Linked DNA regions of Callithrix jacchus. The main gene of each other region encodes a partner of the protein of the gene in region 2 in a complex. Links are inferred from orthologs where the notes say so. Each region holds a gene or a part of one and is shown on either strand. Other genes may lie near its edges. The genes, in order: LY96 and TLR4.

Region 1 (4,369 bases), on a different chromosome or scaffold from region 2:
TTATGTGCCCAGCAGCTTGGCCAAATGGAAATTTATCTATTCTTTTTCATGGAAATCATCCTTACAGTGAATTAGAGGTTGTTGTCACCAACACCTTCACAATAGTACCTAGAAAAGTCAGTGCTTCCCACAGGTAATGCATTTTCGGCCGTGCAGGATGGTTTCTCTCAGGCCAAGAAGACAGTCACATGGCAGTGGGGATGGCAGCAAGCAGCATCTTGCTGTAGATGTGTACCCCAGTGGCTTGCCACAGTCTTTTTGTCAGTGGGTAGCAGGATAGGATTTCTCAGAGAGGAAGAGGTAAGCTCTTCCTTCAGTAAGTCAAATCAAATTAGCCGTGCATGGTGGCGCACGCCTGTAATCCCAGCTATTCAGGAGGTTGAGGCATGAGAACTGCTTGAACCCAGGAGGCAGAGGTTGCAGTGAGCTGAGATCATACCACTGCATTCCGGCCTAGTTGACAGAGTGAGACTCTGTCTCAAAAAAAAAAAAATTAGAAAGTTAAATCAAAAGACACACCAGTGGTTGTGGTTTCACAGCAATCTGAATATACTTAATACAATTGAGTCAAACACTCAAAAATGATTAAAATGTGAAATCTTAGGCCAGGTGCAGTGGCTCACATCTGTAATCCCAGCACTTTGGGAGGCCAAGGTAGGCAGATCACCTAAGGTCAGGAGTTTGAGGCCAGCCTGGCCAACATGGCAAAACCCCATCTCTACTAAAAACACAAAAATTAGCCAGACGTGGTGGCAGGCACCTATGATCTCAGCTACTCGGGAAGCTGAGGCAAGAGAATCACTTGAACCAAGGAGGTGGTTGTTGAGATGAGCCAAGATCGCGCCATTGCACTCTAGCCTGGGCAACAAGAGTGAAACTCAAAAGTAACAATAATAATAATAATTAATAATTAGCCAAGGGTGGTGGCACGTGCCTGTAGCCTTAGCTACTTGGAAGGTTGAGCTGGGAGGATGGCTTGAGCCAGGGAGATGGAGGTTGCAGTGAGTGGAGATCAAGCCACTTGCTCCAGCCTGCATGACACAGCAAAACCCTGTCTCAATAATAAATAAGATAAAATGTGAAATTTTTTAAAAAGACAAATTGTTATTGTTAAGAAAGATTAAAAGCTAAATAATAATACAAAATGTTATAGCCATAACGACCATATAAAGAATGGCATAATCCAGCCAGGCACAGTGGGTCACGCCTATAATCCCAGCACTTTGGGAGGCTGAGGTGGGCAGATCACAAGGTCAGGAGTTCGAGCCAGCCTGGCCAACATGGTGAAATGCTGACTCAACTGAAAGTACAAAAATTAGCCAGGCACGGTGGCACATATCTGTAGTCCCACCTTCTCAGAAGGCTGAGTCAGGAGAATTACTTGAACCCTGGAGGCAGAGGTTGCAGTGAGCGGAGATCACGCCACTGCACTCCAGCCTGAGTGACAGGGTGAGACTCCATCTCAAAAAAAAAAAAAAAAGAGTGGCATAATCCACACATGGTACAAAAGGGCCAAAGAGGGAGAGGAAAGTAGGGGCCGTGTAGAGTAGGAGCCTTGCTCTAAGAGGGGAATGCAAACAGATCTTGTAGCATGGAGAGATTTTAGAGATACATTGAGAGGGAATTCAGTGCAAGCCACCAGGAGGAGAAGGGCCACGGTGTGTGACTGGCCGCACTCCTAAGTCTCCTCCTTATATGTGATAATTATCCTAATTCCCCGAAAGTCCCTTTACATCAGCATTGGCTAGAGCATGATTTCAAGACAGTTAGCATACAATCCAGACTAAAAAACAAACAAAAAACAAATGGAATTGAATATGTTGTGGTTAAACAAGTGCCTTTATTGCAGAACTCAGAACTCAAAGTACATCTGTAAATCTCTCACGGATGACTAGGTCATAGATCCTATTTTCCCAAAAGAATCTCAAAGAACTGGTATTTTGGGAAGCATCACTTTAAACCTTCCAGATATTGCTAGTGGGTGGAAAAGGGCAGCGCAGTGGAAAGTACCAAACCAAAACAGCTGTCAGGCCTGACACTGTGCCTTCAGACCAGAGGACGTTTGCTAATGAGCAGCTGGGGCAGGAGACAGTCATAGAACCAGTGAATAGCATTAGGGTATGGCTTACTCAAAAAAAAGAAATTAGTAGTATTGACTCCATGTTGACCCTATGCTAAAAAACTTCACCTCACAACACCCTGATCAAGTAGACTCAAAATCACTTTCGCTTTAGAGCTAAAACAGCTGGAGTACTTTGCTTAAGGCCACACAGCTAAGGACAGAACCAGGCTTACATCGTTAGGGAGATGATTCTAAGAGCCCTCAAAAGTCACAACTTGAAGCAGAAATCAACTCCAGGAAGCAGCTGGGATTGCTCTACCATCTCAGGAAGAACTAGTACGGATTGAGGCTGAGGCGAAAGCTTAGAAGCAGACGGTTCTACTGAAACTGGGCAGAACCCAAAACTGGGCTCAGCATAGAGATAGATGACGCAGGGAACAACAGAAGCATTTGAAGGTCAACCACAGCGAGCTCTGGGAGGTGTCGAGAAGATTCTCACGGGGCAGCTGCCAGTGATTGCTTTTCCTGCTGGCAGCGTCTGCCCACAGCAGCTGGAACACACTGGCATTTCCTGTGTTCCAGCCACAACAGTGTAAAGATCTTGTGAAAACGTAGCCGCAACATAGTTGATGCTACAATTATTTGTTGTTGATGTTTTACTTACCACAGTAGGTGTATGAAATACTTGCATCGGAGGAGTTGCAGATCCAGTGCTGCTTCTGAGCTTCAGTAAACATGGAAGAAAATAGGGTGGAAAAAATTATAAATGGCAGCATGATTCAGGGTCTTCAAAACTTTACAAATACAAGAGGATCAGTAATCATCAGACTCTTCCTTTTCAGTAAGCAGAAAAGATTTAACTTAGTCATCAGTCACGTGATTTCTGAGTTCCTGTCCAACTGTTTCCTCTTTGTGTGTGTGTGTGTGTGTTTAACATTTGAGCACTTTCTGCAAGGTAAGAGAGTAAAACTATTCAGAATGTACTCTTTTCCAAAGTTTAATGTAAATGAGAGTGATCAAAGTTTTAAAAAGAAAACAAGACACTTTGGCCAGACGCGGTGGCACACACCTGTAATCTCAGCATTTTGGGAGGCTGAGGTAGATGGATCACTTGAGGTCAGGAGTTCAAGACCATCCTGGCTAACCTGGTGAAATTCCATCTCTACTAAAAATACAAAAATTAGCCAGGTGTGGTGGCGCACACCTGTATTCCCAGCTACTCAGGAGGCTGAGGCAAGAAAATCACGTGAACCTGACAGGCGGAGGTTGCACTGAGCCAAGATGGCACCACTGCACTCCAGCCTGGGCGACAGAGCAAGACTCCATTTCTTAAAAAATGTTTTAAATTGGCCAGGCGCAGTGGCTCATGCCTATAATCCCAGCACTTTGGGAGGCTGAGGTGGTTGGATCACAAGATGAAGAGATCGAGACCATCCTGGTCAACAAGGTAAAACCCCGACTCTACTAAAAATACAAAAATTAGCTGGGCACGGTGGTGCACACCTGTAGTCCCAGCTACTCGGGAGGCTGAGGCAGGAGAATTGCTTGAACCCAGAAGGCGGAGGTTGTGGTGAGCTGAGATCATGCCATTGCACTCCAGTCTGGGTAACAACAGTGAAACTCCATCTCAAAAAAAAAAAAAAAAATTAAATTAAAAAAATAATAATAAACAAGACACTTCTCAGTCAACAGTAACAAAACCAGTCCGTAGGTCCCCCTGAAAGTCTCAACAGACAGGCGCTCCTTTTCCCTCTGCATTGCTCTTCTCTCCCACAGCTCTGTATACCAGCAGGGTCCAACAATTTTGGTCTCAGAGACCAGTTTCATAGAAGACAATTTTTCCGCAGACTGAGGAGATGCAGAGGAATGGTTTCGGGGTGAAACTGTTCCACCTTAGATCATCAGGCATTAGATTCTCATAAGGAGCATGCAACCTAGATCCCCCACATGCAGACTTCATAATAAGGTTCCTGCTCCCATGGGAATCTAATGCCTCTGCTGATCTGACAGGAACTGGAGCTCAGGTGGTAATGCTTGCTCACCTGCTGCTCACCATCTGCTGTGCAGCTTGGTTCCTAACACACCACAGTCAGATTCCTAACAGGTACTGATCCATGACCCCCAGGGAATGGGGACTCCTGCTTTATAAAACAAATTATCAGCCAGGCACAGTGGCTTATACCTGTAATTCCAGCATTTTGGGAGACCAAGGCAGGTGGATCACTTGAAGTCAGGAGTTCAAGACCAGACTGGCCAATGTGGTGAAACTCTGTCTCTACTAAATATACAAAAATTAGCCAGGTATGG
Region 2 (4,524 bases):
TCATCCCTCTTAAACCCAGAGGGTTTAAAGGGCTACAAAGAGGCTATCTGAGACACGACTTTACTCTTTCTTCTCCTTCTGTTCTATGCATATAATTTACTTCCCTTCTTGTCCACTTCACCTGCCATTTCTAGAATTTCCATCGAGGAGAAGGAACTGACAGGAAGTAGGCCAATGTCAGCTTTGTATGTAGGAAATACTCCAAGTTGTATGTTGATCTTCCTTCTCAAAGCCCTGTATATTTGCTTGAATAAACACACATATACATAATTCATATTCAAATATGAATAGAACTGCACTTAAAAGTAGCACAGATATACACAAAATCACACATTTTCAAGCATACTAAGAAATTGATGCATACATCTATAGACAAACAATGATGTATGTATGTATGTTAGTTCCTTCGTTATCCACAGTTTCACTTTCCCAGGTTTCAGTTACTCATGGTCAGTCATGGTCTGAAAGTAGGTGAGTACAGTTCAATAAGACGTTTTGAGAGAGACAGCGAGAGAGAAAGAGATCACATTCGTGTAACATTTATTATAAAACGTTATTACAATTATTCAATTTATCATTAGTTGTTGTTAATCTCTTACTGTGCCTAATTCATAAAATGAACTTTACCTTAGGTATTTGTGTATAGGAAAAACTACTGCATATATGGGGTTTGGTACCATCTGGGATCTCAAAGATCCACTTGAAGTCTAAGAACATATCCACCAAGGATAAGGAATAAGGTGAGACTACTGTACAAGCACCACAAGAGTAGGGAACCCATCTTAAACAGCCTTAGACATCTACTTGAAATGCATCTATTCTTCAAAAGGTATAATCACACTCTCCTCTATACAGATATGATCATACAGACACACATACTTTCAAATACACACAACCCTGATAGGGACACACTGGTATATGTTGTTCAAAGGTATATGTTGTTCAAATGCATACATTCTCTTTCACTAGTACATGAGACATAGAAACACATCCAGGGATGTTCAACCACCCTAGACATGCTCAAACAAAACACAGTCTGACACACTCAGTAAAAAATCACACTTCTGAGTGTTCTCATAGTTGCAGTTTTGACAACTGAGTTTTGTTGTCTTTCCTTTTTTATAGTTTCATTCAGATATAGTTGATATTACAAAACTTCATATATTTAATATATTCAATTTGATGAGTTTAGACATAGTCATATACCTGTGAAACCATCACCATAATCAAGGTGATAAATATATCCATCACCTCCAAAAGTTTCCTTGTGTAATGGAAATATATACCAAATATATGGTAATATATACCATATATTACCAAAAGTACATATGGTAAATATACTTCATGCGATCTATCCTCTTAGAAAAATTTTAAGTGCATAATACAGTATTATGCATTATAGGAACTCTGCTATACAGCTGATCTTCAGGGCTAATTCATCTTGCATACTGTAATTTTATACCAATTAGACAACTCCCTATTTCTTCATTTCTCCCTTGCTCCTTTTCCCCAGGAACCACTGTTCTATTCACTGCTTCTTTGGGTTTGACTATTTTAGTATCTCATACAAGTGAAATCAGGCAGTATTTGTCTTTCTGTTACTTGCTTACTTTACATAGCATAATGACCTCCAGGTTTATCCATGATGTCATAAATGGCAGGATTCCCTCTTTTTTGTAGGCTGAATAAGATCCCATTATATGTATGTGCACATTTTCTTTGTCCATTTATTTTTCAATGGATATTTGGGTTGTTTCCATAACTTTGGAAACAGTGATTGTGAAAAGTGCTGCAATGAACATGGGAAGGTAAATATTTCCTTGAAATTTTGATTTCAATTATTTTGGGTATATACACAGAAGTGAGGTTGCTGGATCACAGAGTAGTTTTATTTTTAATTTTTTAGAAACCTCCATAGTGTTTTTCATAATGGGTACACCATTTTACATTCCCTCCAACAATGTAGAAGGGTTCCAATTTCTCTATATCCTTGATGACCCTTTATTTTTATAGCAGCCATTCTACCTGGTATAAGGTGATATCTCATTGCGGTTTTTATTTTCATTTTCCTGATGATGTCCTCATTGTCCTTTTCTTGAATATTCTGTTTCTGGGGAGGCTGGATGAACATTTTTTTCTGGGAACTCCCTTTATATGAATGAACCCCATTAATCTCAGACACATTGTTTTCTCAATGATAGCATCCACTCTTCCCAAAATGTGGTCAGGGAGCAGTGCCCAACAGGAAGCAGAAATGTATGTACTACCTGCATTGAATCCCTTCTCAAGTAGTTCCCCTGGCAGTGGGGAGGGTGCAGGGGAGGGATCCCAGCCCTCCATATCTCCCTGAAGAGATTCAGAGGTCCATTAAACATCAATTTTTCTGAAAAAAAAAATTTCTGCTGCAACTCATTTTATGGGGTCACCCCAAGTGTATAAGCCCATACGTTTCTGGAATCAAGAACAGGTGACCTCCTGAGGTCACCCCACTTCCTTTCTTGCCCAAATTGTCCATGATATGACCAGAAAGTGGACATTTTCTTTCCCTGTTTAAAAAAAGTACCCCCTTATAGAAATTATTTCAACACTGCTTTCATGACAGTCATAACTTAGGAGACAATAACTTTGAAATGATATTGAGTGACAAAGTGACAGAGTGTACTTTATATACTTCCTTAAAAAATGGTGGTTAAATAAATATGGATATTTAAAGCACATCCTGAACAACCTTATTTATGATATTGGCTTAAAGACATTAAAAAATAAGAACTGGAATATATTGTGTGTTTAAGTGGGGTATATTAAGTGTAGTTTTTAAAATTAATTAATTTATTTATTTATTTTTATTGCATTTTAGGTTTTGGTGTACATATGCAGAACATACAATGTTCCTTTAAATTAAAATTGTATTTGGAAGTTATGCTATTAATAATCTTCAGATTTTGACTTGTAATAATAAACTGTGGCTGGAAATCATGCTCTTAGAGACAAATAAAAATATGAAGTTACCTTAAAAAAAATAAGAACTGGACATATAAAAATAAAAATATATTAGGGGTTATTAGTTGAAAAACAGAGCAGTCTCAAGAATGATGAGGATGATTGTGAGCATGTGTTAATCAGGTCTCCTTAGGAATTAGCCACTAAGCTTTAACCTCTGTAAGGAAACTGATTTAAAATGGAAGGTGCATCTTGCATCACCAGCCCAATGAGTCATCAAGTAGAGTTTAAATTCAATGGAAAAGGAAAAAGTGAACACCCAGTTCAGTCAAAACTACCAAAATGGTTTTATGACGGCTATGACATAATATATAATGTAATTTCCATTCAAAAGACTCAGGAGAAGAACAATGCCTCTTTCTGCTTTCTCTGTCCTTATTCAACTTGATGAGGTAAGAGTTGAAATGACTTTCTCTGTCATGGGTTCCTTGGCTGACTTGGTTGAAATGCCCACCTGGAACGCTCTGTATTTTAGTGTAGCATTTATTCCCTCTGCACTGGAGGCACCATGAGATTAGCATCCCCATGTATCTTGTGAACCATGGAATTACTTGGCCTTAGCATAATGCCTGGCATGAGACAGCATTTAATACTTGTTAACTTAACAAGTGTTGGGCCCAGCTGGGCAAGAAATGCCTCAGAAGTTGGTTTTTGTTTTTTCCCTCTTCAGATAGTTATTGCTTCTTGCTAATTGCATCCTGCACCCACTGCTCCTTCTGGACTCCACGGTCTACCATTTAGCAGGGCTTTTCTGAGTCGTCTCCAGAAGATGTGCCTCCCCAGGACACTGTCCTCCCATTCCAGGTAAGTGTTCCTGCTGAGAAGGCGGTACAGCTCCACCTGCTGCCTGAGCAGGGACTTCTCCACCTTCTGCAGGACAATGAAGATGATACCAGCACGACTGCTCAGAAACTGCCAGGTCTGAGCAATCTCATATTCAAAGATACACCAGCGGCTCTGGATGAAGTGCTGGGATACCACAACAATCACCTTTCGGCTTTTATGGAAACCTTCATGGATGATGTTGGCAGCAATGGCCACACCAGGAATAAAGTCTCTGTAGTGAAGGCAGAGATGAAAGGGAGGCACCCCTTCTTCTAAATTCTTTACTAGTTCATTCCTTACCCAGTCCTCATCCTGGCTTGAGTAGATAACAAAGGCATCATAGGTGTTTTCACCTCTACCATACTTTATGCAGCCAGCAAGAAGCATCAGGTGAAAATAGAACTTATAGACCAAAAGTGCTACAACAGATACCACAAACACACTGAGCACTGACACACCAATGATGGTCTTACTCATCTGACAGGTGATATTCAAACTCAGCACAGGTATGCCCTTCCTATTTAAAGGAGATGCACATTCCATTTGTTCAACTTTCACCAAGAGCCGCCTCTGGTCCTTGATCCACTGCAGGAAACTCTGGTGTTCACAAGTACAAGCAAAGTCATTTTGAGTAAGATTTAGGAAAGCTAGACTACTTGGAAAACGCTGTAGTTCCTGATTTTTGGAAGTCCCTATGTG

Evidence for each region.
Region 1: the proteins of TLR4 (region 2) and LY96 are in contact, whole or in part, in a crystal structure (PDB 4G8A), measured with the Homo sapiens proteins. The link is inferred for Callithrix jacchus from reciprocal best matches to the Homo sapiens genes TLR4 and LY96. Residues at the interface, in NP_612564.1 of Homo sapiens: Gln39, Met41, Glu42, Asp60, Ser62, Phe63, Asp84, Ser86, Arg87, Thr110, Gly111, Val132, Val134, Glu135, Asn156, His159, Ser183, Ser184, Asp209, Leu212, Arg234, Val259, Glu262, Phe263, Arg264, Asn265, Glu266, Arg289, Ala291, Tyr292; in NP_056179.4 of Homo sapiens: Met40, Tyr42, Ile66, Pro67, Arg68, Arg96, Ser98, Asp99, Asp100, Asp101, Tyr102, Ser103, Phe104, Arg106, Leu108, Lys109, Gly110, Glu111, Thr112, Thr115, Thr116, Ile117.

Annotation. Positions count from the first base shown.
Region 1 is NC_133517.1:52,224,722-52,229,090, forward strand, and holds the start of LY96 (lymphocyte antigen 96), read right to left. Parts: upstream 2,925-4,369; 5' UTR 2,839-2,924; coding exon 2,727-2,838; intron 1-2,726. UniProt on the Homo sapiens protein: Binds bacterial lipopolysaccharide (LPS). Cooperates with TLR4 in the innate immune response to bacterial lipopolysaccharide (LPS), and with TLR2 in the response to cell wall components from Gram-positive and Gram-negative bacteria.
Region 2 is NC_133502.1:166,093,888-166,098,411, reverse strand, and holds the end of TLR4 (toll-like receptor 4), read right to left. Parts: coding exon 3,688-4,524; 3' UTR 524-3,687; downstream 1-523.